Linked DNA regions of Oryctolagus cuniculus. The protein of the gene in region 1 purifies or fractionates together with the protein of each later gene. This does not show direct contact. Links are inferred from orthologs where the notes say so. Each region holds a gene or a part of one and is shown in the gene's direction. Other genes may lie near its edges. The genes, in order: SIN3A, SAP30L, SMARCC1, MTA2, MTA1, ING2 and SAP130.

Region 1 (4,172 bases):
GCGGTGCAGGCCGGCGCCCGCTCTACCCTACCGTTTGCCTCATCTGACGCCGGCACAGCGCAGGAGCACACAGGGCTCATCTCCCGGCTCCCCCTCCTCTCCCCTCCGTGGTCTCCCCAAAGCTGCGGCTCCCCACCTGCCCTCTCTGCTTACAGCCCAGCTTCCCACGTGGACCCTGGGGCCGGGGCGGAGGGTGGGGGTGGCGGCTGGCAGCCTGTCCGCTCCATTTCCCACCCCGTTTCGTGGAGAGGCTCAGGCCCAGGTAGGGGAGACAGGAGCTCGTTTAAGCCTCCGACAACGGCCACGCGAAGCGCAGGGCCGAATTCCGCCAGCCCCGAGCTCCTCCGCCTCACCCCGCCGAGGGCCGCTGGCTCCATTTGCCGCCCACCGCCCACTCCAAATAGCCGCCCTCTCCCCTGAGTCTCTCCAACACTGCTCGCCTTTCTTGCTCGCACGCATCCCCTGGCCGTGCCCTGGTCTAGTGTGCCCCGCCTGAACTACCGGCCCACCGCACGGATCCCTCCGAGCCCCGACCAGCCGGTCTCCCTCGCTCACACCAGGCGCATCCGGCCTCTGCTGAACACAGACCTGCGGGGTGGCCCTGCCCCCTGGAAACTCTTTTCGGTTGGCAATGGAGACCAACAGAGCAAGGGCGGCAGGGCAGAGGCAGGGCAGGCGTCGCAGCACTGTAGCCACCAAACCCAGCGCCTCCCTCCCCTCACTGGGCACACCCCAGAGCCCACCGGCTGCTAGGGCGCTAAGCACCCGACCACACCGGCCTGGGCCTGCGACCGGCTTTTGGTCCAGCTAGGAGACGTCCCGCGGCTTGGGGCCACCTCTGCCACCCTGGTTTCCAGCATCGCAGTCCTCACGCTTTCCACCTGTCCCTTCGTGCCCTTTGCCCCTCCGCTTCTGCCCGGGGCAACCCCTAAGACCCACCTGGCTCGCCGCCGCCTCCACGCGGCTCCGCCGGCTTACCTGCAGCCGGCAGGGCTCTCCTGGGAGCGCCCGGGAGTCGGCCAGTCTGTGCGGGAGCACACTCCCGCCTCGCCTCGGCTCCTGCGGCAGCATCTCCACCGCGCCCGCACGCCCCAGGGCTGGGGTGACTCCCTCGCCGGGCTGCACGCAGGGCTTCCCGCCCGCACCCCTCGTCTCCAGGCGCCCAGCACGGCGGGCCGCCGTCCCGGAGCCCCGCCGCCCGGGACCCTCGAGGCGCCGCCGCGACGGCACCGGGGATCCTCCGCTCCGGGCTCGCCTAATTTATTTATTTGCACGGTTCCCGGAGGGAGGGGCGGGGCGAGCGCGGAGGCGGGCCCTCGGCCGTGACGCAGCGCCGCGGAGCCAATGGCCGGCGGGGGGCGTTCCCCATTCAGCACTCCTCGCCCGGCTCGGAAGGTATGTTAAACAGCTGCTTTCAATTCGGTGCCCCCGGCCCGCGTCCGGGGGGCGGCTCGCCGTGGCCGGCCCGACGCAGAGCGGGCGCGCAGGCCCCGGGGCGGCTCGGAGTCCCGCGGCCGAGGTAGGCGAGGGGCCGGCCCGGAGGGAGGGCGCTCGGCGCCGCCCGCCCGCCCGCCACTGTGTCTCCCGGCCGGGCCGAGCCGTGGGGAGGGGGCGCCAGCGCCGGCCGCGCCGCCTAGTGTTGCCGAGCACTCGGTGTCGGTAGGTTTCGGCGGCGGATTGGGGAGCGGCGAGCCGGAGGAGTCTCCGGCTCCGCTCACGCCTTTTTTTTTTTTTTTAAGAAAAACACACGAAAAGCAGCAAAAAAAAAAAAAAAAAAAAAGGTGGGTGGGGGGCCCTGCGCGCCGACCGGACGCGCTCCGGCAGGCGGGGGGCGGCGGCCGGCCCGGAGTTCCCTCCGCGCGGACTTGCCGGGCGGGCCGGGCTCGCGGCTTCCCTGCGCGCGCAAACTTGCACGAGGGGCGCGGGCGCCCCCGGCCCGGGGCCGCCGCCCTCGCCCCCCGCCGCCTCGCCGCCCGGAGCGGCCGTGAAGGTCGGAACCTGGGGAACTGTCTCCACGCTCGCTCGGGAAGAGGAAACGCATCAGCGGGCGGGAGGCGGGGCGCAGGCGCCGGGCGGGGGCGCGGGCCCGGCCGGCCGGCCGGCCGGCCGGCCTCCGGCCGCGGCCCAGACTGTTTACTACCGACTCCGCCGGCGGCTTGTGCAAGCGGCCCGCAGGGGACACGCGGGGCGGGGCGCCGCCTCGCCGCCCGCCGCCCCGGGCTCCTTGCGGGCCCCGCCTGCTCTTGTCTTCCATTGGCTGCTCGGGACTCCCTCTTTCGCTTCTCGGGCACGGATTGGCTGACATTATCTCGAGCTCCGCCTATAGGGAGGCCGGGCAGGAGTTTAAGTTGCTAGGGTTTTTTTTTTTTTTTTTCCGTGAAGGGCGGAGGGGGGGGCGTCCTGCGGCTACGTGAGGCGCGAGGGCCCGCCCCCGCTCCTGATTGGCTGCGCGCGCGGCCCCGCCCCCGGCGGAGCGAGCCGGGAGGGGAAGTCCGCCCTCGGCCGCGAGCGCGCCCCGCACATGTGTGAGGCCGCCGCGCTGCTCGCGTGCCTCCCGCCCGGAAGTCCCGGCTCCGCGCCCCGCGGGGGGAGGGGGTGGCGAAGGCGCGCTGGGCTGCCCGGCATCCCGCGGCCGGCGGCTTCCGGGTGGCGCTGGGGGCTCTGCGGGCGAGGGTCTGTCCGTCGGGCCGGGGCCGCGCTCTGAAGTTCGGGCCCGGCGGCGTGGCTGTTTCCGCGCGAGAGCGCTGCGGACGCCGGCAGCCGCTGCCCTCGGCGGGCCGGGAGGGGACCCCGGCGCGGGGTCGGGGCGCGGCGCGCGGGGCTGGGCCCGAGCTGCGCCCCCGCCGGGGGGTCGGCTCCCCGCAGTTCCCAGCTCGCAGCCGGCACTCACCTGTTGCCGGAGCTCGCTCCGAGGCTGCGGAGGGAGGGCGGTGTTGGGGTCCCCTCTGCGGGCGAGAGCGGGAAGCCCCGAGCCCCGCCCCCCAAGCAAGGCCACCGGCGGGCCCATGCCCTGTGTGCCGGCACCTGGTCTCGGTGCAGCTTAGCCTTCACGGAGCGGACCTAGGGACTGCCAGGAGCCCACGGTGGCCGAGGTGGACGCCGGCCGCGCCGGCCTCACCGCACGGGGAAGCCCCCGCCCAGAGGGGTCTGACCGCACGCGGGACCCCGGCCCAGAAGGTGTCTCTGCACGCGGGACCCCGGCCCAGAGGGGTCTGACCGCACGCGGGACCCCGGCCCAGAGGGGTCTCTGACCGCACGCGGGACCCCGGCCCAGAGGTGGCCTCTGACCGCACGCGGGACCCCGGCCCAGAGGTGGTCTCTGGCCGCACGCGGGACCCCGGCCCAGAGGGGTCTCTACCGCACGCGGGAGTCCGGCCCAGAGGGGTCTCTGACCGCACGCGGGACCCCGGCCCAGAGGTGGTCTCTGGCCGCACGCGGTACCCCGGCCCAGAAGGTGTCTCTGCACGCGGGAGTCCGGCCCAGAGGGGTCTCTGACCGCACGCGGGACCCCGGCCCAGAAGGTGTCTCTGCACGCGGGACCCCGGCCCAGAGGGGTCTGACCGCACGAGGCACCCCCGCCCACTCCGGTCCCTTCCTCGGTTCCTCCGCTGGCTCTGCCCCCGAGGCGGCCAGGGCGGTGGCCGTCGGGCCGCTTTCAGGGCTGCCCGTTCCGGTCGGGTTTGTGGGCGCAGCTCTGCCCCGGCCGCTGCTAGGCGGCGGCGTGCGACCGCCAGGCCGGAGGCTGAGGTTCGCGGTGAGGGGCGCCCGGGCCCCGGCGCTGCCCCCGGAACTCCGAGCTCGTCTCGGTGTCAACATTCCACCAAAGGACGGCGGGGCGGAATCGCCGGGGGCGGGCCCGGCGCGGCTGTGAGGTGGGAGGCGCCTGCGTCCCGCACGGACACTGTGCCCCACAGCGGCTGCCTTCCTGGGGCGCCGAGAGCCGGAGGTAGCCTTCCGAAACGCTGACCGGCGGAGGCGGGAGCCGACCTGCTCGGCCTGTGGCTGAGACGGCGCGGGGCGGGCCGTGCGGTGTCCTCCAATGAGACGAGAAGAGCTCCCCCGCTTCCGCCAATGGTGTTGCGGCTGGGGGGAGGGACTCGGCAATCCGTCTCCAATAGGCGGGGTTGAGTTAGGGAAGCTCCCCGCCAATAGGGGCGTGGAGAGGGTGAGCG
Region 2 (3,109 bases), on another chromosome or scaffold:
GCAGAGTTATACAGAAAATGAGAAATAGAGAAGAGACAGATCTTCCATCTGCTGGCTCACTCACCAATTGGCTACAACAGCCAAGGCTGTCCAGGCAGGAGCCAGGAGCTTCTTCCTGGTCTCCTACATGGGTGTAGGAGCCCAAGGACTTGGGCCATTGTCTGTTGCTTTCGGATGCACATTAGCAGGGAGCTGGATCAGAATTGGAGAAGCCAGGACTTGAACCAGTACCCATATATGATGCTGGCATTGCAGGCCACAGCTTAACCTGTTATGCCACAATGCCAGCCCCCTAACACAACTTTTTATAAAATATGTTTCCACCCATGCCAGGGCCTGACAGGTTTGGTAGCAGCTGACTAAGCAGAGCAGTTGGTCTCTTCATGGAATTTAATGATCATGATGGATGATTGGCTGCCACTAAAATAGAACTGTACCTTGGTAGGTTAAAGTTCTACTTCTGGAATTCTGGAAAACAAGTCACCATTGTACATTGTTGCAAGAACTTCTGCAGTAGCTGTAATTTCCACCACAGCACTGCAAGCGAGTCCTTGTCCCCTCTTTTGCACAGTTTTGAATTTGTCACCCTGAATTGTACAGGTTTAAGGGATTTTGGTTTCTCTTCCACATAGACTGTCAGCCGACACTTCAGGAACATACCTGTGAATGAAAAAGAGACCCTCGCCTACTTCATCTACATGGTGAAGAGTAACAAGAGTAGACTGGACCAGAAATCAGAGGGCAGCAAGCAGCTTGAGTGAAGACAAAGCTCATCTTAAAGGAACAAAGCATAATGCCTAATGCACAGGTGATATCTGCTACATTTAAAGACTGTTCAGTTTTACTGTAAATAAAAGTTTGAATGATGATACTGTAAATCTTTTTGGTCAAGAGGATTATATTCTCATGACTCAGCATGTGTATAGACAGACTTTTAAGATAACTACTGGACTGAAACAAACAGGATCATAAAAAGAATTAAAGGAAAACTATGTATTGCAGAATTCAATAAAGTGTTAAGTCTATTCTGCTGAAAAATGTGGGATAAGAAATAGTTTGGTAGTCACCTTGCAATACCAGGCTGCCACCTTTGGGACATAGCCCTGGAATAAGGATAGGGTGTAGCTGATGGACTTGCACACTGACCACTGGGTATGTAGATGGCCTGCTTTGTTGCGGATTTTTTTGTCATTATCAATTTGACATTGGTCTCTTCACTTGCCCTTGTCCACAGGGGGCATTTGATCAGTATTGAGTTGTCTAAGCTGTCAAAGCAGTGCCAGCCCTGTAACATCTGCTTCCTTGCTCTTGTAACAGAGACCTGTGCTACTTTTGTTGTTCAGCACTTAACTGCTAAAGTATGGAGGGACTCCTGATGGAAGGACAAGGAAGTTTGAGATCAAAAGAGTATTTCAGGGCAGTTGCATGCCCCGGTTTGTCAAGGCTTCAGAAACACTGATAAATGTTTCTCACAGGAGACGTGGTACTTTGCACACCCCTCTGTGCTTCACTTTTGGGATGAAGTTATTAAGACTTGAGCCAAGATCCTGGGCAATAAATGCTTTGACAAACTGAGCAATTTTGGTTTGGGGCTAATGTTTTCAGAAGTATTAATCCTCAGTTCATGACCACCAGGAAAGCTGCCAAGGACCATATGACTCCTGCTCAGAAGCTCAGCTGTGGGGTAGAAAGTACGGCTGTCCTTAAGTCCCTGGGCTCTGTCTGGTAGACAGCACATCATGAATTTGAGCAACCAAGGTTAGTGCTATCTGATGCTCATTTTTGTGAGCAATTTGCTTCCCTGTTAGGGAGAAAGATTGCTTAAAATAATTTTTAAAGTATTAATAATGGCCTGATTTTTGTTTTTGTCAGTAAGTCATTCTTCTAGCTAATTTTATCAGAACCAAAGTATCCTGGGAAAACAAAGCTTTATATCCAAAAATATGCTTTTGCAAAATTCTCTCTATGATCATTGTGTTGGGGGTAGAAGGCTGAGAGAAAAAAATTTGGATTCTAGTATCTGACCAATCTTGATACATATGATGACATATGATGGTCAAAGGTGTCATTTTGCTTCTCAGTTTCAATTCTTAGTTGTTTCTTAAGCCTTAAATAATAAAAGGAGTAATGCACAGCCTGGCTGGCAGAGTTTCCATGTCTCATAAATGGCTTAATCTGAGCACCATAGGCAAGAAGTCAAAACAAAACCCCGACTGAGCAGGGTGGCAGTGTCTGAAGATTTCAGTTCTGTGAGCAGAGTACCATGCTCTCTGTGGAATGGGGACAGAGCCACCCCTGTCACTAACATGCAGTGTGTTTCATTGCAGCAACGCTGTCACCAGTGTTCAAAGTGCATGTCTGGCAGATTGCAGCCTTTTTTACATGTGTGTAAATGAATGTACATAGACAATGCTCTGAACTCTGAAGGGATCCTGTTTTGATACACTTGGCTGTGTCTGGCATGTCAAGGTACTCTTGAGTATTCTCATTCAGATCCAGTGTATATTTAGTGATTGTCTCCTTACTTACAGCTGAAGGATATTGATAGAGACATCAAGAAGCCTCATCGGGGGCTGGAGTTTGGCAGATGGAGCCTGCAGGTTAAGGCATCGTTAATGTTCTCTCTGGAAATGTTTCTTTTTGAGGAAGAAAGTATATTTTTCTGATATTTAAACCAAAATTGTGAGTATGTAGTCATGTCACAGCTCCTTTAACAGCAAATCTGTTTTCCCAGTGGAGAGAAACAGCAGTGCATTCTCGTCCAAGAAGATGTGGTATCAGGATTCACATGTTGACATGTGTATGTAAGACTGCTTTTATTCCAAACGGAAGCCTGGGCGACTTGTGACCTTCAGCCAGAGGCTGTGCACACTTGAGTCTCATGTTGTCTTGAAAAGTGCTTTTGGAAACTGGAAGTTGTAGGCATCTTCAACCTTTTAAAAACAGGTCAATTGAGAGAAAAGACAAAGCTATTTGAACTTAACGTTTATTCATGTCCAAAAGTCTGTTCTTTCATGAAACCACTAAACCACTTGCCTTAGCCTCTTCCGCAGTTTCTGACAGCTTCATCTGTGGGCAGAAGACTTCTGCCTATGAGCAACAGCCAGGC
Region 3 (4,098 bases), on another chromosome or scaffold:
TTCTGCTCTGGGATCATAGCATTATGTCCATAGCTCTGTTAGGGATAACCATACTTGGATAAAAACTCAATATGGGGCCAGAATTGTGCACAGTGGGTTAAGCCGTGGCCTACCTCACCAGTATCCCCTATCAGAGGGCCAGTTGGCATCCTGACTGCTCTGCTTGTGATCCAGGCAATGGAAGATGGCCCTGAGTAGTTGGACCCCTGCCCTCAGTGTGGGAGACAAAGACAGAATTCCAGGCTCCTGACTTTGTTATAGCCACTTTGATAAACAACCAGCAGATGGAAGATAGTTTTTTCTGTCTTTCCCTGTCACTCTGCCTTTCAAATACATAAACCAATCTTAAACTCAAAACCTCCATTCCTGCGGGCCATACATTCCCCAAATATTTGTTAGCTAACAGGCAGAGTGGCTGGCGTTGTGGCTCAGTGGGTTGAGCCGCCAGTATCCCATACAAGCAACCTGTTCTAGCCCCAACTGTCCCACTTCCCATCCAGTGCCCTGCTGATGCGTCTAGGAAAGCGATGAGTGACCCGGATGCAATTTCAGGCTCCTGGCCCAGCCCTGGCCGGTGCAGCCATTTGGGGATGGAAAATGTCTCTCAACTCCGCCTTACAAATATTTTAAAAACAAAACAAGAACAGGCTGTTTCCGCAGCGCGAAGGGTACACCTGTGAACAAGATTAGGTTCTCATGCAGTCTATCTGCGCACACACACAAATAATAAAAACATCGGGTCACGTTCAGGGCTTCGCAGAACGTGTGAGCCACGGCTCAGGGGCCGGCCTTCGGAAGTACTTCCAGGCTGTGAAAGCGGCCGAGGCTCATGGGTGAAACCACAAAGCAAGACCCAGGAGGTCGCCGAACAACCCAGCGCGCAAAGGCCATAGGCAGGAAGGGGCGCGCGTGGCCGGGGCCACGAGGGGCGCGGAGGCCGCCCCGCGCCGTACAGGGTCCGGGCGAGCAGGGCGGGCGCGCAGCCGCACCGCGCCCAAGCGCCAAGGCCCGCAATCCGCAAGGGCTTCTCCCGGGCACTTATCAGCCCACGCCTTCCGTCGGCCAGCACAGACCCTCCTGGCGGCTGTCCACCGCGTGAGGCGCGCACACAAGAACCACAGGAAGTAGAGAGGCAGCCCCCGTGGCGCGGCGGAAGAGGCGGGCGGAGGCGCTGGCCCGCCGGCAGGGCACTGCGCAGGCGCGCGCGCGTGCTCGCGACGGTTACGGCGCCGGGGCCAACTCGGGGCGGGGTCGGGCTTCCGCGCCGGAAAGGGGTTGGCTGGGCGGGGCTGAGGGACGGCGGTGGTGGTGGTGGCGGCGGCGGCAGCAGCAGCGGCTGCGCGCGCGCGCGGGTGCGAACGGGGAACGCTGCGAGGGCCGGGCCGTGCCGGGCGGTGGGGACGACTGACGGCGACGATGGCCGCGGCAGCAGGCGGCGGCGGCGGCGGGCCTGGGGCAGCGGCAGGCGCCGCGGGCGCGGGGGGTGCGGCGGCGGCCGCGGGTCTGGCGGTTTATCGACGGAAGGACGGCGGTCCGGCCAGCAAGTTTTGGGAGAGCCCGGAGACAGTGTCCCAGCTGGATTCGGTGCGCGTCTGGCTGGGCAAGCACTACAAGAAGGTGGGTCCGCGCGCCCTTGGGGACCGGGAGGTCGCGCGGCGGGGGCCGGCGGCGGTCCCGGGCTTGGCGGGCCCCGGGGCCGCCCCTCCCCCCGCGCGCCACGAGGGACAACAAAGGCCGGCGCCGGGGCTGCCACGCCCCCGCCGGCCGCCCTGGGCGCCCCTCCGGCTCCCGCTTGGCTGCCGGGGGTCCCGGGCCTCGGCCCTGGGAGCCCGAGCGCTCGGGGCGGAAGCTCCTGCGGGCCTCGGTGCGCGACAGCCGGGCGGCGCGTGTGTCTTTTGTTGGCCGCCTCAGGTGTGGGAACAATGACCCCCCCCCCCCCAGTACCCAGCCGGCGTGGGCGCGCAGCCTCGGGGTTCGTCCCGAGAGTGGCCTCCGAGTGGAGGAGGACCCGGGTTTCGCTGCCCGCGGCTGGTTTGCCGCAGGCCTGTGGACGCTTGTCCCGGGCTTCACGTCACGACCAGTGGCACCGAGGAGAACTCGTGTCCGGTGAAGAAACGACGGGTTTTGGTTGTGCCCGTCTGCATGCTGCGAGTTCGAGGCTGTGTTCACCTGTGCCCTTCAGCCAGGCCTTCCCTGAGGACCCGCAATGTACAAGCGCACCCTACTTCGTGTCACCTTTATTTAATTCCTAGTGCTGGCCGCTGCCTGAAATTTGTGCTTGCTTGTTTCTCCTACCTTTGGGATTAAATTCTGCTGAATCATAGGTTTTCAAAGTTGTGACTTAACCCTTTGTTCAGAATTTTGAAAACCCTTTAAGTTTATGCTTCATGTAAATATTCCCAGAATGATTGCCTTGTAAGGTGGATGAAGCAGACAGCCACTCTCTGCCTCGAACTTCCCAAGCACCCTCTTTGACTTGTGCTCTCCCCCAGGGAGCAAGGGCACTGTCAGGCCTGTACCTGCTCTGGAACACGGTCGGTGCTCGGTGCCTCCCCTGAGCAGTTACTCAGTAAATACTTGCTGAACGAATGAAAAGATCGAGGTGTCTAGGAATCTGTTAGGGGTCTGCAGCTCAGTGAGTCTGTCTGTTTCAGCAGTCGTTAGGTGAGGGCAGGGATCTTGGGTTCCTTTGAGGTCGCTCACACTGATGCTTTCTTCAGAAACCACCGTTCCTGCTCTGAAGTTTGAGGAAGTGAGAGACAGTAGTCACATTTTTGGATGCATTGATTTTTTACCCCCTTTGAAGTTACATATGGGACTGTAGATTTTTCTCTACAGTATTGCTTTCTGTTGTAGTGACAAATTGGTCACTTTGTATATGGAATATAGCTTCTGGAAGTGGCTCACGGAGTTGAATATGTTCCAAAAATGTTAAATTTTTTTTAAAGTTGGTAATTTTCTCATCCAGTGCTTTGGGTCTTAAGGTCAAAGAAGATTTAACAAGAAAAGATTATCAGGAGTCATATTCCTTTGAAAATCAAGGAAAAGAGTGGAAAAAAAGTCAATGATAGTTATTTTGACTTCTCCAAATAATCAGTGTATTAATTTTGGTCCATTTTAAAGAGGGCTGCTTTATGCCTGGGTAATACCTCAGAAGTTTGAGTGACTGGGAAAGTAGCTAAGAGGCAGACTGAAGGATTTGACCCACAGCGTTGAGGCCACTAGGCCAGTGTTGACACACTGTTCCTGAGGCTTTAAAGACAAAGTCAAAGTTAAGTTTGATGTCTCAGGGCTTTGTAGAATCAGAATGTATTTCTTGGGCCTATCCAGGTTCAGAATTGTATATATCTCTTATGCCTGACAGCCAGAATTCTTTCAGCTTCCGGGAGTCATGTTGAAGTGGTAAAAATCCTAGTCAGAAGGCTCTTTGATTCTTTTTTGCATACTGTATTTCTGCTTGGTTTGTGTTTTGGTGGGTTTGAACTAAACATTTGTTTTGCATTTAGTAATGCATTTTCAGAGCAGTTAAAAAAAATTTTTTTTTTAGTACTTATTTGAAAGCGTTAAAGAGGGAGGTAGAGAGAGAGGTCTTCATCTGTTGATTCACTACCCAAATGGCCGAAATGGCTGGAGCTGGGCTGAGCTGAAGCCAGGAGCATCACATAAGGGCTGCGAGCACTTCAGGTGGCGGCTTTGCCTGCTTTGCCACAGCACTGCTCCAAGGCTAAGGTTTGTGGTGTGTGTTTTTTTTTTTTTTTTTTTTTAAGATTTTATTTATTTATTTAGAGGTAGAGTTACAGACTGAAAGAGGGAGAGACAGAAAGGCTTTCCATCTGCTGTTTTGCTCCCCAAATGGCTGCAACAGTTGGAGCTGAGCCGATCCAGGGGCCAGGAGCTTCCTCTGGGTCCCTGACGTGGGCACAGGGGGCCCAAACACTTGAGTTATCTTCTGCTTTCACAGGCCACAAGCAGAGAGCTGGATCAGGAGAAGAGCAGCTGGGACACAAACTGGTGCCTATATGGGAAGCCTGCGCCACAGGCAAAGACTCAGTGCTGGCCCCGCCCCCCCGGGCTAATTTTTAAGCCGATGATTTTGTA
Region 4 (4,203 bases), on another chromosome or scaffold:
ACCAGTCTGACCATCCTGGCCTTCTCGGGCATGTTTCCAGCTGCGGGCAGGGTGGGCTGAGCTGGGCCGGCTGTCTCCCCAGGGGACGTGGCTGGAGGCTGCAAGCTGCTGAGGAATCGCTATGAGAGCCGAGACAGGGAATGGGCCACCTACACTTGCGTGCTGGGCTTCCACGTGTACGGTGAGCAGGGGTGGGGGGCCCGAGCGGGACGAGGTGGAGCCCGCTGTGGGCTCGGCACGCCGGGCGGGTGTTCGGAGAACCTGCGGAGGACCCAGCCCACGGGCCCCCTACCCCTTCGCCCTCGGGACCAGGAAGGACTGCCTGGAAGGCGGCCGGTTGTTGGTGGCAGCGAGTGCCAGAGATGGGGCTACGCTGGGCCGCGGGTGGTGGCGGGCAGGGGGCCGGGCTGAGGCCGTCGCTGTGCTAGGCGTGTGGCCGGACGGCTCCGACGGGACCGACATCAACTCGCTGTGCCGCTCCCACGACGAGCGCGTGGTGGCTGTGGCCGATGACTTCTGCAAAGTGCACCTCTTCCAGTACCCGTGCGCGCGCGCCAAGGTGAGGCTGCCCGGGGCGCCGGGGGCGCGGGCCAGGGCGGGCCCGGACGGCGCTGCCGCTCACCCTCCCCTCCCCGCCAGGCGCCGAGCCGCGTGTACGGGGGCCACGGCAGCCACGTGACCAGCGTCCGGTTCACGCACGACGACTCGTACCTCGTCTCACTAGGCGGCAAGGACGCCAGCATCTTCCAGTGGCGCGTGCTGGGCGCTGGGGGCGCGGGGCCGGCGGCCGCCACGCCCTCCCGGACCCCGTCCCTGTCCCCCGCCTCCTCTCTGGACGTCTGATCGCTGCCGGACCGGACCGACTGGCCGGCCCCTTTTCCTCGACTTCGAGACATTCCCAAGTGCGCATCTCCCCGGGGGGCGATCGCCCCTGCACACACTGTAGGGACCCGCTGGCCGAGCCGGGCCGCCCCAGCCTGGGTCCTGACTCCTGCTGCCTGCTGAGGGGCAATAAACCAAAACCAGAGTCGCCTCCCTGTGCTTTTGTGGGGCGCAGCTGGGTGCCCTAGGGACCCCGAGGGGTGGGATGGAGGCGAAGAGGAGTGTGGAAAGCGCCCGTAGGCCGTTCATGCAAATGGTAGGCAAAGCTGTTTGCAGACCGCCCGGCGAAGCGCGAGGGCGCGCGCGCCTTGCGGGACGTCAGGCGGAGCCGCAGACTCCTGCGAGGGAAGGGTTAAGCCCGCCTCCTCCCCCGCCCTCGGGGAGGGGGCGGTCCCGAGCTGCAACGGAAATAACCGAGGGACGGGCCGCGGTTGGCCGAAGCCACTCGAGCTCATTCCGGAAGTAGCCGATCTGTGGGGTCTTGCTCTCCGACCTGAGCCGAGCGCCGGGCCTTGTTCTCCGATCAGCCGAAGGTGTTCCGGAAGAAGGCGAATCCCGAGGCGGGCAGGGCTAGCCTCCCCTGGGCCCGCGGAGCTCAACGTCTGGTGGGACCGGTCGAGGTCGGGGGTGGGGGTGGGGGGGCGGCTAGCCGGAGCCTGGCTCCGGTCCGGCAGGAGCCGAGTTCGTTCCGGAAGAAGCCGAGCGGACCGGCGCCGGCCTCGGCGTCCCGGGCTTGAGGCGGCAGCAGCGGCGGCGACAGCGCGGGCCGGGATGAACCGCGACGGCTGAGGCAGCGGAGGCGCCGGCTGCGCGGACCCCAGGAAGACTCTCCCAGAGCGCCGGCCCGGCTCTCGGGGCTTCGCCTCGAGCCGAGCCCTGCCCCCGCGAGCTTCCCGGACCCCTTTGTGCGGCCGGAGGCGGCGGCGGGAACGGCCATGGCGGCCAACATGTACCGGGTGGGGGGTGAGTACCGGGCGCAGGGGCGCGGGGCCCGGGGCAGGGGGGGCCGGGCACTCGGCGGCGCAGGGAGCCGCGTCTGGGGCGGCGTGGACCGGAGCTCGGACCGGAACCGGAACCGGGAGCCCGGGGAGCGAGGGTGCGGGGACCGCGACGCGGCCGGGCTCCGGGGGTCGGGAGAGGCTGCGGGCAGCCCCGACGGCACTCGGAGTGCGGCACCGCGGGCCCCTGGGGCGGGGAGTGGGCTTGAGAAACTGGTTCCGAAGGAGCTGACAGGATAGGGACGGGGCCCCGGGGGCGGGGGGCCCGCGGCGACGGCTGTGCTACCTGCGGGGAGCAGCCTGAGGTTTCTTCTCCCTGGGCGTTATTGTGCGCCTCGCTCCGCCAAGGCGGGGGCCGGGTGCTGGAGCGAACAATTGTTCACTTCGCCGGGGCTGGAGTGCAACTCCATCGCTGAGTTGGGGGAAACTGCTGCCTGTCTTTTCCTGAAGGCTCACTTTTGAGCGAAGGGTGTGATTTAGAATCCGATGCGGCAAGGTGGAGGCATCTTAGTCTGCCCCTGTCCACACTCGAGCCTCCCCTGCCTGGACCCTTACCCACTTTTGGTCGACGCGGGCGGTTTTCTCTCCTCCTACCCTGACTGGCTGTCCCATCTTCCCGTTCTTCCCCACCCCCTCCTACAGATTACGTCTATTTTGAGAACTCCTCCAGCAATCCTTACCTGGTTAGACGGATTGAGGAGCTCAACAAGGTGAGTGGAATAGACCCCCCTCCCCATCCCCCAAGTGGGCTCCTTTGAGGTCTCTAAGTTCGGGTGGAAGAGAGGCCACTAACCTGAGTGCTCATTCATATTCATTCATTCATTGGGTGCATACAGGACAGGCTATTGAGAGCTTAGTGGGAGTCTTCCTCATCTGTCTCTCGGGTGCAAAGGAAAGGGGTTTGGAAGTCTGTCCTTGAATTAAATCCTTATAATTTCTTGAGCTCTTTTACTTAGGTCCCTTAGAAATTTATTCCATGTTGTTAGGCTCTGTGCATTTCCACTTTCAGATAACCAATTTTCACTGCTACGTTTTTTTCCCCTCTCTTAGACTGCAAATGGAAATGTGGAGGCAAAGGTTGTCTGTCTTTTCCGGCGAAGGGACATTTCTAGTAGCCTCAACAGCCTGGCCGATAGTAATGCCAGTGAGTGTCTTCATCCCCTCCTCCTGCCATCTGGGCATGTCCCTGCAGGTGTTTCCCCTGGTAGCATGCCCAAAGCAGGGGTGTGAGTTTTGGGGGTGGGAAGTGCCTGGTTTGTGGAGGGAGGCCTGTTTTTACACGTTGGGGTTGGAAGCAGGGTGGAGAGACCATGATAAGGAAAGCCAGACTATGGTGTATGTGTGTGTGTGTGTGTGAGAGAGAGACAGAAATGATAGTGTTTACATAGGAGGTAAGGAAGAGAAGCAGGACACTTTGGGGGGGTAGAGTTTTGAGTACACTGAGACAATGAGGGGTGTCTGAGGGTCAAGGTGAGAAGGAAGAGATTGTACTGAGAAGCCTGTGCAGCAGGGAAGCAGGCTTACTTTATAATCACGAGGTGGTGCGAACGCGGTGAAGGGAGAGAATGGAAGTTAGGATATGGCAGGAAAGTGTTCTTGCACTTTTTCTTGTTTCTCACCTCTTCCATGTCCCCTCTACTCCATTTTACTTCTTTCCTTTTTCCTTTTGCCTTATCTTCCTTCCTTTTAAGCTCTCATTTTCTTTTGGAAAATGTATTGCCTTCATTTTTTCCTTGGCTTCTTTTTCCTTTCCTGCTTTGGTTTTCTTTCCTCTTCCTCTTGTCTAAGTTATTTTCCTTTTTAAAGGCTGCACTGGGCTTGAAGGGGTTAATGAGGAGAGCCGGGCGGGCTTACGAAGTTCCCTGGGCCTTTGGGGTTTCCAGCCTCCTCTGGCAGGGGCTGACCTTGGCCTTGTCCAATCAGAAAGGGTGTGGGGGGTGTGGTCCCCTTTGCCTTAGCACAGGGTTTCCGGAGCACACAGGCAAGGGGTGGAGCATATTGCACCCCTCCCCATCCCCCCCTCCCCGAGGTCGGGGAACAATGCACCAATGAGCCTGAGCCTGAGGCTCTCCTGCACCCTCCCACTTTGACTGGCGCCCGGCCAGGTTAACCCTTTTCACCAAGGTTTCAAGGCAGGCTGCAGCTCCTTGAGGGAGGTGTTGGCACTGGCTTGAGAGGTGTTGTCCTTGAAAGCCCCACAAACTATTATTAGCCAAGTAGAAAGTGAGGGATAGTTAGGGTTGCATGTGATGTTTGAGAGCAGAGTCTCCTGAAATCTGAAAAGAGGAACTGGTAAACACAACCTGTGTGACATTTTTTTTTT
Region 5 (3,500 bases), on another chromosome or scaffold:
CTCGTCCCTCTGGTCTCCAGCTCCCTCCTCCAGCACTTCCGCCTCCTGTTTCTGTGCACGTGGCCGGGACCTGGCTCTCGTGGGCTGGCTGCTTGCGGTGTGTTGGCTGTGCAGCAGGGCTGGGATGCTGCACCATGGCCCAGAGTGGCCGGTGAAGGGTTCCCTCAAGTCCCTGTGCACAGGGCCCGCCCTCGCCAGCCTGGGGACCCCGGCCCCAGCCCCGTCCCCGGCAGCATCCTTGCCTGCTGGGCTCACTGCTTGGTCTCTTCCTGAGCTGCAGGCCTGGTGCAGAGCCTGGGCAGCCACGTCCACCGTGAAACCCACGCCAGCTCCCACCTGGGGAGAACTGCGTGGCGACGCCCTGACCCGAGGGCCTGGGCTCGGCTGCTTGCGTGCTGGTCAGGAGGGTGCTGGGGCTCCCCAGAGACCGTGGAGCAGCCACCCCCAGGACCCCTTCCTGACCACAGAAGGCCTGAGCCTGAGCCGCAGCCACGAGGGAGGGGCCTCCTGCCTCTCTGCAGCCCCACCGCCTCCTGAACCTCATGGGCCGCTAGTCCAAGGGGCATTGGCCTGGCTGGCAGGAACGAGGCTTCTAGAACCTTCCACAGCTCCTTGAGCCACATCCTGTTGAAGGGATGCAAAACCGTGCTTGTGCCTGGCCAGCGGCGAGGGCTGGGCTGTGCTGCTGCCGCCCTGCAGGGTCGGCCTGAGGCCCTGGGAGTCCTGGCGCCAACAGAGGTCTCAGTGGGCAGAGGAAGGAGATGCACCCATGATGCTGGACACGGGCCACGCTTCTGCGCGGACAGAAAGCCCCAGTTCCTCCCCCTGCAGCCCTTACGGTCAGCCCCCCGGGCCCACTGGGCCCACATGGACCCTTCCGTGGCCAAGCCTGCTCAGCCTTCAGGGGCTGCTGCCCTGTGAGAAGGGTCAGATTTTTTTTTTTTTTTTGACGGCAGAGTGGACAATGAGAGAGAGACAGAGTAAAGGTCTTCCTTTTGCCGTTGCTTCACCCTCCACTGGCCGCTGCGGCTGGTGCGCTGTGGCCGGCATATCGCGCTGATCCGAAGCCAGGAGCCAGGTGCTTCCTCCTGGTCTCCCATGCGGGTGCAGGGCCCAAGGACTTGGGCCATCCTCCACTGTACTCCCGGGCCACAGCAGAGAGCTGGACAGGAAGAGGAGCAGCTGAGATTTGAACCGGCGCCCATATGGGATGCTGGCACTGCAGGCGGCGGCCCCACCCACTGTGCCACAGCCCTGGCCCTCTGGTTTTGTTCTTTGGAAGTAAAAGGTTGTTTCATCAGAACCCTCCCGAGAGCTCCCAGAGGACAGACCAGCCCTGGTTGTGTGTAGGTTAGCGGTGCTGGAGCTGGGCTCTGCCTGTTACCACACTGGGGTGCTAGGTGAAGGCACCAGGGGGCTGTGATGGCACAGCCGAGTGCGTCTGGATCAAAGTGAGGGCTGGGAGCTTCTGCTGCCTCTCTGGTCACACTCTGGAGCCACCAGCACCGGGGTCCGCGTCCCTGGTGGGCTCTCCCTTGGGCCCATGTGGGTCTCTGTCCTCTCACTGTGCCTGCAGCCCCAGGGTGCTGTCTGCAGATGTCGGAAGCCACAGCCCGAGTGCCTGTGTGCTGGCCACCCCGCATCGTCTGTGCTGTGGGACCCCAGGGAGCAGGCAGGCCCGTGGCTCGGACCTTGGCCCTCTGTGGTTTCCGCAAGTGCACGCTTCCCTGTAGGTGAGGAGGACGGCCGTGACCAGTCCAAGCTGGAGACCAAGGTGTGGGAGGCCCACAACCCACTCATAGACAAGCAAATCGACCAGTTCCTGGTGGTAGCCCGGTGAGTTCTGGGTACTGGAGAAGGGACCTGGGGTCCTTGGTGTCGGGGAGACCGTGTGGCCTTGGCTCTGAGGTCGCGGCGAGGCCCACAGCCTTGCCTCTGGGCCCTCACCTGGCATCCCCAGGAGGCTCAGCTGACCCAGCCCACCTGGCCTTTTGGGTGCTCCGCTGGGAGGGGCTGGGCTGTGCAGCCGGCCACATGGCACACAGGCCGTGGCAGCCACTCCCCAAGTGTCCTGGTGGCTCCGCAGATGCTGTGGCCACTGTAGTCTGTAGACTCCATGGCAGCCATGCCCTGGGAGTGGCGGGCGCTGCCCCGCTCCTAGGGCTCTGAGGGTCAGCCTGTCTCCGTCCCCCAGCTCGGTGGGCACCTTCGCACGTGCCCTGGACTGCAGCAGCTCCGTGCGACAGCCCAGCCTGCACATGAGTGCCGCCGCCGCCTCCCGAGACATCACCTTGGTGAGTGTCCAGCACCTGCCCAGGCGTGCAGGACCTGGGGAGGACCCAGCTTCGGTCAGTGTGTGTGGAGGCTGTGGCCAGGGGCCCTCTCCAGGAGGTACCGAGGGCGTGGGGCCACGATGCAGGTTCAGGTAAAAGACCCCGGGCCCCTCGCCCCTGCTGTGTCGCCACAGTTCCACGCCATGGACACACTGCACAAGAACATCTACGACATTTCCAAGGCCATCTCGGCCCTCGTGCCGCAGGGCGGGCCCGTTCTGTGCAGGGATGAGATGGAGGAGTGGTCGGCGTCGGAGGCCAACCTCTTCGAGGAGGCCCTGGAGAAGTACGGGAAGGACTTCACGGACATCCAGCAGGACTTCGTGAGTGCCCCGGGCGGTGGGCGGCTGCTGGGCCTTGGGCAGGGGCCCTGGCCTGGCCGTGTCAGTGTTGGCAGCGGGGCTTGGGTGGGGGTCTCGGAGGGGACGGGGGGGCCGCAGCGGGGCTGCCCCCGTGATGCACTGTCCTCTTGCCCAGCTGCCATGGAAGTCGCTGACTAGCATCATCGAGTACTACTACATGTGGAAGACCACCGACAGATACGTGCAGCAGGTGGGCCCGCGTCCCCCGGCAGCTTTGCGCCCCGTGAACTTGCTGCGTGCTGTAGAGCCCCTGGGTGCCCCGGCAGCCCTGGCTGAACGTTCCGTGCCAGGGCTTTGCGTCTCTGGGGTCCCAAAGTCTTCCCCAAGAGAGCCAGCTCCCAGGGCCCCTGCCTCGCTGTCCGGTGTCTGCGCTGCAGCCCCCGTCCAGCCTGTGACCTCTCTGCCCCTCTTTTGCTTTAAGAAACGTTTGAAAGCTGCTGAAGCAGAGAGCAAGCTGAAGCAAGTCTACATCCCCAACTAGTGAGTGCTGCCTGGGGCCTGGGGCCGCGGGGCCGCCTTCCCTCAGCGCAGGGGACCCTGGCCTGGGTCTGGGGGGCGGGGGCCACATCCCAGAAGCCCCTGGCAAGTCAGCCCTCCCAGTTAGTGGGGTGGCCAGTGTGGGGAGGCTGGGGCCCTGGGTTTGGCCACTGAGCTTGCCTTGGTGCTGGGCCCATGAGAGCCTGGGGAGCCGTCCTCAGCGGCTGGGGGCATCCTCAGTCCGGATCCTGTGACTTTTCCCCTTGCCTCCCTCTTAAGCAACAAGCCAAGTCCAAACCAGATCAGCGTGAACAACGTCAAGGCCAGC
Region 6 (4,274 bases), on another chromosome or scaffold:
CATTTACGTTACCCAGAAATTAATCGATGGGAATCCATCATTTCGTGGGCTGGACTGTGGCCTGGGGTCTCACCGTCAGTCCCTGGGCCTCTTTCGGCTTGGCCGGAGGGGAGGACGGAGTGACCATATCGTGCAGCGCCCCTCCCTCCGCCCGCAAGCCCTCGCCCACGTCTAATGCCTGAACGTTCCGACCCCCGAAAAGGTTTTGCTTCGTTCTGAACGGCTGTCTACCGGCCACTTTCGCACCCCTGCCCCCTCAACAGGACTCAACAGGAGGGGAACCCTGGCCAGAGCTTGCCACCCCGGCGCCGGGAGCCCTCCGGGTCACCCCAAGGCAGAGCGAAGCCGCACCGGGTCCCTGCAGGCGACTACGTGGAAGATAGGGAAAACGGCGGCGGTCAGAGGGAGCATCGCCTACCTCCCCGCTGCTGGGGAAGCCCCAGGGCGGCGCCGGGAGGAGGCTCGCTGCCCCCGGGCAGCGCTGAGGCGGCGGCCAGCGAGCCGCGGCGGCTCGGCGGGAACACAGCCGCCGTGCATGCCGGGAGCAGCGCCCCGCTGCACACTGGGTCGGTAGTTCCCGCAGGCCTCACTCCAGGGTGCAACGGAGAGCAGCTGCCGGCGGCTCCTTTTAAGGCTCGCGGGGAGCCGCGCTCGATCCGCCCAACGTGGGGAAGAGTCGATCACCCTGGGCCGAGTGAGCCGGGCCACGGCTCCCCTCTCCCAGTGGGAAGGACGGAAGGAAGAATTCGGCCACCTTTCAGGTCCCATTCAGAGCGCGGGCGGGGACGCGGGTTTGACAGTGCTTCCCCTTTAAGGGGGGGCGGGGCACAGCCTGCCGTTTGGCCGCCCTCCGCACCCTCCCCCCGCGGCCGAGAGTTGACAGACCAATCGCCCGGGCGGCGGACGGAAAGCGGGAGAATGCGAACCCTTCGGTGGGGCGCTAGGGGCGGGCCCCCGGCCTTATTAGGACGGCGTCCTGCGCAGGCGCAGAGGCGGCCGCAGCCGAAGGGGCGGGGGCAGTCCAGTGAGAGACTCTCGGACAGTCGCGGAGGCTGACCGTGGGGGGCGAGGGGTTTGTCAGGGGGATCCGAGCGACGAGGCGGCGTGGGTAGCATCTGGGGACTTTGCGGGGGACAGGAAGTGTCCCCGCCCGGGACCCCGGCGCCAGCTCCGCTGAGGGGGGGGGATCCCCGCGGCTCTCGTCCTGGGGAGGGCGGGGGGAACGGAGGGGGAGCCCTGATCTCGCCCCGCCCCTGGGCTTGTTACCGCGGGGGCGGGGAGTGAGGGCTTCTTTTGGGGGGAGTGGAGGTCGGGGGACTCGGCTGTGCCCTCCGGAGCGGCGGCCGGTGTCCCCGCGGCGCCGGGCAGCCGAGCAGACGAGCCGCGGTGAGCGCGGCTTTTGCATGTGCGGCTGCTGGATGCGGAGGCGGCGGCGGCGGCGGCGGCCAGGAGCAGCAGCAGCGGCGGCGGCAGGATGTTAGGGCAGCAGCAGCAGCAGCAGCAGCAACTGTACTCGTCGGCCGCGCTCCTGACCGGGGAGCGGAGCCGGCTGCTCACCTGCTACGTGCAGGACTACCTCGAGTGTGTGGAGTCGCTGCCACACGACATGCAGAGGAACGTGTCTGTGCTGCGGGAGCTGGACAACAAATATCAAGGTAGGGGCCGCGGGGCTCTCGGGCACGGCCGCCCGGAGCCTGCCCCGGCTGTGCCACTTTGCCTTTCTCCGGTGACAGTCTCCGCGAGTGCAACACGGCGGGGGTCCTGCCGTGTGGGGCGGGGAGGAGGAGCTGGACAGGGGGCTCGAGGCCCTCGCCTTCCCCGCTGCGGGCGGCGAGGACTTCGCCGGGGTCCCCGGAGTGGGGGTGGGGGCCGCGCGTCAGCCCCGGCTGCAGACCCAGCGGCTGCAGCTGTCGTGGAGGGGAATCAGCCATTTTAAGCAGCAAGCATTTGTTCCGGCTCTTGCCGGCCCAGTGCCGCAAGCCCTCTCGCCTGGCCGAGGGAGTGTGCAGCCAGGCGGGGGGCCGCGGCCGGCCGGGCTCCCGCCGGTCTGCGGCGCCCCGCGCTCCCCACCCCCTCCGGCCCCCGGCCCCGAGAGGAGATGCATTGGAACGTGTCGGGGGGAGGGGGCGGGAGAGGGCCGCGAAGGCGGACTCGGGGCAGGTCCCTCCCTCCGCGCTCCGGCTCCTGGCTCGGGAACCGAGCGGTCTGTTCCCCTCTCCCGCCGGGGGGAAAGTTCCGGGCTGCCCAGCGCAGTAGCCTTTGCCCAGCTCCTTCTGCCAAATGGTTAAAAGGGGAGGGGTCTCCCGCTGAGAGGGGAGGAGAGGGGCGTGTGTGGCCGGGAGGGCCCCCGGCCCCTGGGGGCGGGGCCTGCGGCCGTGACGTGGGCGAGGGGCGGGGACGCGAGGCGCTCCGCCGGCCTCGGAAATGGCTAGTGGCTGCAGAGGCTTGGGTGGGACCGGCTGCTCGAGAGCCAGTCTGGCCAGTGGCTCGTTCGTTCGGCCCCAGCAGAGCCAGTGTTGGCGTCTGTGTGACTTTTCTCTTTCGCAGCCGGTCAGTCGGCACGGGGACACAGCTGCTGGCACCGTAGCTGTCCCTGAAGGCTCGCAGGTTCCGGGCCGTGTGTCACTTCCGGGCCCCAGGAGGAAGTGGGTTGGTTGACTGGGCAACCGCCCGGCGTCCCTTCGCCCCTGGGTCGCGACTCCGCCAAGTTTCAGCGACGGGACGAAAACCACCCTTTGTGGTCAGACCCAAGAAGCTAGGACAGGGACTCGACCTTTGTCGCATAGTGTCGTTCGTCGTCCACTCTCCGCCTGCTACGAGCAGGGGAGTGGTTTACTTCGGATCGGGAGTTGAAATGTGTTTGATAACCCGAAGTCGAGGAACAGACCTTGGACACGAACTTCTTGTACCCTTGCTCTGTTTTTCCCAGCACGTCACTAATCCGATGATTTCAAGGAATCCACTTCAAGAGTGACTTCTGTGGCCTGTAGCGTGTAGCGACATTTAAGTCTCTGTTGTTGAATGCATAAATTTGTTCTCTGAATCCATATGATTGATAGGGCCGATCTCTTAGTGGGAATAAAGCTGATACTGATTGTCGCTGTGTGCCAGTTACTGCACCAGATCCAGGACATTATATGAAGTAAAACTGATTTTTACAGATAAAAGTAACTTGTCCAGTTAGTTGAATGGGGGAATTTTTGTCTCCTAAGCCTGTTACTTTAGGTGAATGTCCTTTGTTTCAAACTGTTTAAACCTTTTTATTTTAAGTAAGAGTTGTCCAATGTTATTTTTTCCGATGTGGTGCACATATGTGAGTCGTAACCCAGAAAATTATACGTATGTGCTTAAGAATTGTATATTGAATATTTGTGGTTTTTCAAGTGGTAACTTTGAAGATTGTAAAGCTTGTAGATTTTTATACTTTAAAGGCACAAATTTGCCTTAAACTATTTGAAGTTGGGAAGAAATGCTAGAATTTGTTGATAGAGAAATCTATTTGACCATCTATAATTGTCATAATTAGTTCTGGTAGTATGAGTGATATGGTAGGACTTAAAAGATTGAGAGATTGTCAAAATTCTCAATTCTGTAAAATTGTGATTAACTTCCACATTAATAGAAAAGCAATAGAATTTTCGCTCTGTGCACATAGTTGCTAAACTCAACCTTTATGGTTTTTTACTAACTTTACATACTATTGTGTTCCTGGTTCACTTTCATTTTTTTAATTTGTTTTAAACATTTATTTATTTATTTGAAAGCTACACAGAGAGATCTTCCATCCCCTGATTTATTTTATTTTTTTTTATGCAGAACTATACAGCTTTACAGTTACAAACTTGATAAACTTCATAATTACAGCTTTAGGAACATGGTGATTCTTCCCACCATGCCTACATTCCCACCCCTGGTTTATTTTAAATGGCCGTAACTGCCAGGGCTGGCCCAGGCGGAAGCCTGGAGGCAGGAGTTTGATCTGGGTCTCTCAGGGGGATGGAGGGACCCAAGCACTTGGGAGGTCTTCCTCTGCTTTCCCAGGCACTTTAGCAGGGAGTTGGACGGGAAGTGGAGCAGCCGAGACTCAAACTGGTACTCATGTGAGATGCCGGGGTTGTGCAGGCAGAGGCTGTACCTGCTATGCCACAGTGCTGGCACCCATTTTCATGTTTCTTATTTGCTAGTCCTTAAGTATTTTTTTTGGTTGGCATCTAATACTTAGCGCAATATTTAATGATATAAATTATATAAGCATTCAAGGAAATTTCTCTCCA
Region 7 (3,500 bases), on another chromosome or scaffold:
AGGGCTGATTCTGAGGCCAGAGTGTTGTTTAGGGCATTTGTCATTCTATCAAAGGTGGTATTTTTAAGACCAACTTTTAACTTTTTTCAGTTCTTCCTGAGTGATAATGGGTTTGAACCCCCAAAACATCATAGTAAGTGATTTTTTAAACCATTTTCTTCAGCCAGTGAGCCAGGTAGAGCCAGTGTGAAGCGAAGGAAGGAGCATGTACTTGTGCAACCTGAGCAGGCAGCACTATTCCCCACCTCAGTGTTCTGGAAAGTTCCCCAGATGATTTTTAAATATCATTTTTATTATTGTGTGTAGGAATATTTACAGGTTTTAATATATTAGTATTATGCTGATCCCCCTTTGCCAAATACTCCTGTTACTCTGAAGTTTTATAGATTCTCTTGGATTTCTAATATAGATGTTTATATCATTAAGGACAGTTGGGGGCATGGCAAGAAGGTGTTTTCATCTTTTATACCTGTTATTTTGCTGGATAGAGTTTCCAATTAAATGTTATTGAATTAAAGATAGTGACTGGAAATTCGTCTGAAATTCCTTTGTAGATTTGAGTAGATAACATTTTCGAAGTTTTTATTCCTATTTTGTAAGCATTTACATCATGAATAAATATTGAAATGCCATCAATTATTTTGTGCATATATTTTGCAACATTTCAAGTGATTGTTCCCCTGATTTTTTAAATATCATCTAAAACATGAATGGAAATTATAATGTTGAATCATTCTTGTCTTGACAAACCTTATTTGGTCATGATGTATTTAATTTTATATGATCTTATTTTTTTGTTAAAATATTTATTTTATTTATTTGAAAGACAGTTACATAGAAAGGTAGAGCCAGAGAGAGAGAGAGAGAGAAAGATATGTCTCCTATCCGCTAGTTCACTCCTCAAATGGCCGCAATAGCCAGCGCTGAGCTGATCTGAAGCCAGGAGCCAGGAGCTTCTTCCAGGTCTCCCATGTGGGTACAGGGGCCCAAGGACATGGGCCATCTTCTGCTTTCCCAGGCCATAGCAGAGAGCTGGATCAGAAGTGGAGCAGCTGGGACTTTACCTGGTGTCCATATGGGATGCTGACACTGCAGGCCGGGGCTTTAACCTACTGCGCCACAGCGCTGACCACTATATAATCCTTAATGTAATTCTGTGTAGTTATTTTTGTGTCAGTGTACAGTGAAAATTGAGATTTGTTTATTATCTTCTCATACTGTGTCCTGTTTTAGTGCTAAGGCCACATCTCAAAAAATAAGTTAGATTTTGTTTCTTCTTTTTTTGGTCTCTGAATCAATTTGTAGGAGGTTGGGATTATCTGTTTTATATATATTTGACAAAATTTGGCATTAAAAACAATTTGTAGAATTGAACACGGAAGATTTTCATTACTGAATTTGTGTGAGTCAGTTTTGTTAAATGTAAATGTTCTTTTCAAAAAGCATCCATAAAATATCTGTTTTTAGATTTATTGACATGTGGTTGTTTGCTGTATTCACTTTTTTTTTATTTTTTTTTATTTTTTATTTTTACAGTCTGTCCTTTGATCTAAGAGTTTTGAAGACACGGTTTGAGAGAATCTCAGGGCAGTTACGAATGGTGTGAGGAGGGACATTTAAAGGCAAAGAACCAGTAACCACTTTGTTTCACACTGTTTCTATTCCATCCCTAGACCTTCTGTTCCTGTCCAGTTCCAGTACTTTTTGCCAACTTACCCTCCTTCTGCATATCCACTGGCAGCACACACCTATACCCCAATTACCAGTTCGGTGTCCACTATCCGACAGTATCCAGGTATAAACAAGTCCCACTTTTAAAATGACTTTGCATTTTAATTTTTTGCTAGCAATGAGATACAAATTGATTAGGCCTTATTTCTAGTATGGGAATTAATTATTCTAGGTTCAGATTTCCAGATTCAGATAAGGCTAACATATCTGAAGGTTGTATAAGGGCTTAAATCACCATGTTGATGATCTTTGAAAAGATCATATGAAAAGGTAGTGTTGGTAATAGTTGCATAGTTTTATCCCACCCTGCGGATTATCATGTAAATAATATTTGTTAGTTCTTAAACTTGTATACAGGTAGAATGGATAGAGCTATACTCTTAGGAATCTTCTGTTGTTTTGTGAGATACTGTTATGTGTTTTCAATTTTAGTGCAATTATGTTTAGCTATCACCATTCTGACTTAGAAGTAGTGTTTTGCTAATCCAGGAAAAGCAGTCTGGAAGTCTCAGAGTTTGCATATTCTTTTCCTGTAGGATCCTTGGCTAACTTTGGGCATTTGAAAGTCATTCAGATTGTGCCACTAGTACCTTTAATCACACTTTGCATCATTTTTAGTTTCAGCTCAGGCTCCAAACTCTGCCATCACAGCTCAGACTGGTGTTGGAGTAGCATCTACAGTCCACCTAAACCCCATGCAGTTGATGACAGTGGATGCGTCACATGCTCGACATATCCAGGGGATCCAGCCAGCACCCATCAGCACGCAGGGCATCCAGCCAGCACCCATTGGGACGCCAGGGATCCAGCCTGCACCAATTGGCACCCAGGGCATTCACTCAGCCACCCCACTTAGCACACAGGGTCTTCAGCCTGCTCCGATGGGTGCTCAGCAGCCACAACCTGAAGGAAAGACCTCAGGTAATTTTAACTTTTTTGTATGAAAAGTGGCATAGGGTAGGGAAATAAACCTGGGTTTTAATCTGGCTCTGCCGCTTGCTGACTTTGGGGTCTTGAGAAGTTTCTGTAGGCCTTAATTTCCTCTTTGTAACATGAGTCACTTAGAACTTAGCGTCAGGGACATTGTAAACATTCAGACTAACATATATAAACAGATATAAATGTTTGCTCAATAATGAGAAGCATTCCATAAAAATCTCTTAGTTTATGGGGCAGATTCACCTTACAAGTAGTGTTCTCATTCATCTTAGATCTTCAGAGTTATATGTAAAGTGTGAAATCTTATCCTCATGTTAGCTAATGATGTCAGTGCATTTAAAAAGAGATACAAGGGTGGATATTGTGGCAGAGCAGGTTAAGGCATCACTTGGCAATGCCTGTATCCCATATCAGAGTGCTGGTTCAAATCCCAGCTCCTCTGCTTCCAGTCTAGCTTCCTGCTAATGTGCCTGGGAAGACAACAAATGATGACCCAAGTACTTGAGCCCCTGCCAACTTGGAGACCCAGATGGAATTCCAGGCTTCTGGGTTTGGCCTGACTCAGCTCCGGCAGTTGCAGCCATTTGAAGGATGAACCACTTGATGGAAGGTCTCTCTGTCATTCTGCCTTTCAAATAAGTAAATAAATCTGAAAAAAACAATACTAGTGGAATAGGCATTTTGGAAAATGGAATAAATCACTGTGAATGGAATATTGATTAGCTGTTTTTCTGATGTAGTTAAAAGACTTTATCAGATGGAATATTAATCTTAGTTATCATTGTGGCAGTGGGCATTTGGCCTAGCAGTCAAGATACTGGTTAAGACAA

What was found.
Region 2: the proteins of SIN3A (region 1) and SAP30L purify together in Homo sapiens (affinity purification with western blotting; 4 studies listed by BioGRID and IntAct, with this or other methods). This does not show direct contact. The link is inferred for Oryctolagus cuniculus from reciprocal best matches to the Homo sapiens genes SIN3A and SAP30L.
Region 3: the proteins of SIN3A (region 1) and SMARCC1 purify together in Homo sapiens (affinity purification with western blotting; 3 studies listed by BioGRID, with this or other methods). This does not show direct contact. The link is inferred for Oryctolagus cuniculus from reciprocal best matches to the Homo sapiens genes SIN3A and SMARCC1.
Region 4: the proteins of SIN3A (region 1) and MTA2 purify together in Homo sapiens (affinity purification with mass spectrometry; 4 studies listed by BioGRID, with this or other methods). This does not show direct contact. The link is inferred for Oryctolagus cuniculus from reciprocal best matches to the Homo sapiens genes SIN3A and MTA2.
Region 5: the proteins of SIN3A (region 1) and MTA1 purify together in Homo sapiens (affinity purification with mass spectrometry; 3 studies listed by BioGRID, with this or other methods). This does not show direct contact. The link is inferred for Oryctolagus cuniculus from reciprocal best matches to the Homo sapiens genes SIN3A and MTA1.
Region 6: the proteins of SIN3A (region 1) and ING2 purify together in Homo sapiens (affinity purification with mass spectrometry; 5 studies listed by BioGRID and IntAct, counting the BioPlex papers as one, with this or other methods). This does not show direct contact. The link is inferred for Oryctolagus cuniculus from reciprocal best matches to the Homo sapiens genes SIN3A and ING2.
Region 7: the proteins of SIN3A (region 1) and SAP130 purify together in Homo sapiens (affinity purification with mass spectrometry; 4 studies listed by BioGRID, with this or other methods). This does not show direct contact. The link is inferred for Oryctolagus cuniculus from reciprocal best matches to the Homo sapiens genes SIN3A and SAP130.

The regions. Positions count from the first base shown.
Region 1 is NC_091443.1:108,521,551-108,525,722, forward strand, and holds the start of SIN3A (paired amphipathic helix protein Sin3a), read left to right. Parts: upstream 1-1,372; 5' UTR 1,373-1,395; intron 1,396-1,494; exon of another isoform or gene 1,495-1,519; intron 1,520-4,172. UniProt on the Homo sapiens protein: Acts as a transcriptional repressor. Corepressor for REST. Interacts with MXI1 to repress MYC responsive genes and antagonize MYC oncogenic activities. Also interacts with MXD1-MAX heterodimers to repress transcription by tethering SIN3A to DNA.
Region 2 is NC_091437.1:41,406,334-41,409,442, forward strand, and holds part of SAP30L (histone deacetylase complex subunit SAP30L), read left to right. Parts: intron 1-632; coding exon 633-761; 3' UTR 762-808; exon of another isoform or gene 809-2,531; 3' UTR 2,532-3,109.
Region 3 is NC_091441.1:101,097,202-101,101,299, forward strand, and holds the start of SMARCC1 (SWI/SNF complex subunit SMARCC1), read left to right. Parts: upstream 1-1,298; 5' UTR 1,299-1,416; coding exon 1,417-1,617; intron 1,618-4,098. UniProt on the Homo sapiens protein: Involved in transcriptional activation and repression of select genes by chromatin remodeling (alteration of DNA-nucleosome topology).
Region 4 is NC_091432.1:8,952,997-8,957,199, forward strand, and holds the start of MTA2 (metastasis-associated protein MTA2), read left to right. Parts: upstream 1-1,403; 5' UTR 1,404-1,817; coding exon 1,818-1,845; intron 1,846-2,522; coding exon 2,523-2,590; intron 2,591-2,930; coding exon 2,931-3,024; intron 3,025-4,203. Other genes in the region: EML3 (echinoderm microtubule-associated protein-like 3), read left to right, coding at 83-181, 539-559, 640-1,070. UniProt on the Homo sapiens protein: May function as a transcriptional coregulator. Acts as a component of the histone deacetylase NuRD complex which participates in the remodeling of chromatin.
Region 5 is NC_091451.1:47,293,007-47,296,506, forward strand, and holds part of MTA1 (metastasis-associated protein MTA1), read left to right. Parts: intron 1-1,733; coding exon 1,734-1,836; intron 1,837-2,194; coding exon 2,195-2,294; intron 2,295-2,467; coding exon 2,468-2,656; intron 2,657-2,810; coding exon 2,811-2,885; intron 2,886-3,116; coding exon 3,117-3,175; intron 3,176-3,451; coding exon 3,452-3,500. UniProt on the Homo sapiens protein: Transcriptional coregulator which can act as both a transcriptional corepressor and coactivator. Acts as a component of the histone deacetylase NuRD complex which participates in the remodeling of chromatin.
Region 6 is NC_091433.1:65,334,884-65,339,157, forward strand, and holds the start of ING2 (inhibitor of growth protein 2), read left to right. Parts: upstream 1-1,474; coding exon 1,475-1,655; intron 1,656-2,398; exon of another isoform or gene 2,399-3,188; coding exon of another isoform or gene 3,189-3,225; intron 3,226-4,274. UniProt on the Homo sapiens protein: Seems to be involved in p53/TP53 activation and p53/TP53-dependent apoptotic pathways, probably by enhancing acetylation of p53/TP53. Component of a mSin3A-like corepressor complex, which is probably involved in deacetylation of nucleosomal histones.
Region 7 is NC_091434.1:118,436,528-118,440,027, reverse strand, and holds part of SAP130 (histone deacetylase complex subunit SAP130), read left to right. Parts: intron 1-1,673; coding exon 1,674-1,795; intron 1,796-2,349; coding exon 2,350-2,652; intron 2,653-3,500. UniProt on the Homo sapiens protein: Acts as a transcriptional repressor. May function in the assembly and/or enzymatic activity of the mSin3A corepressor complex or in mediating interactions between the complex and other regulatory complexes.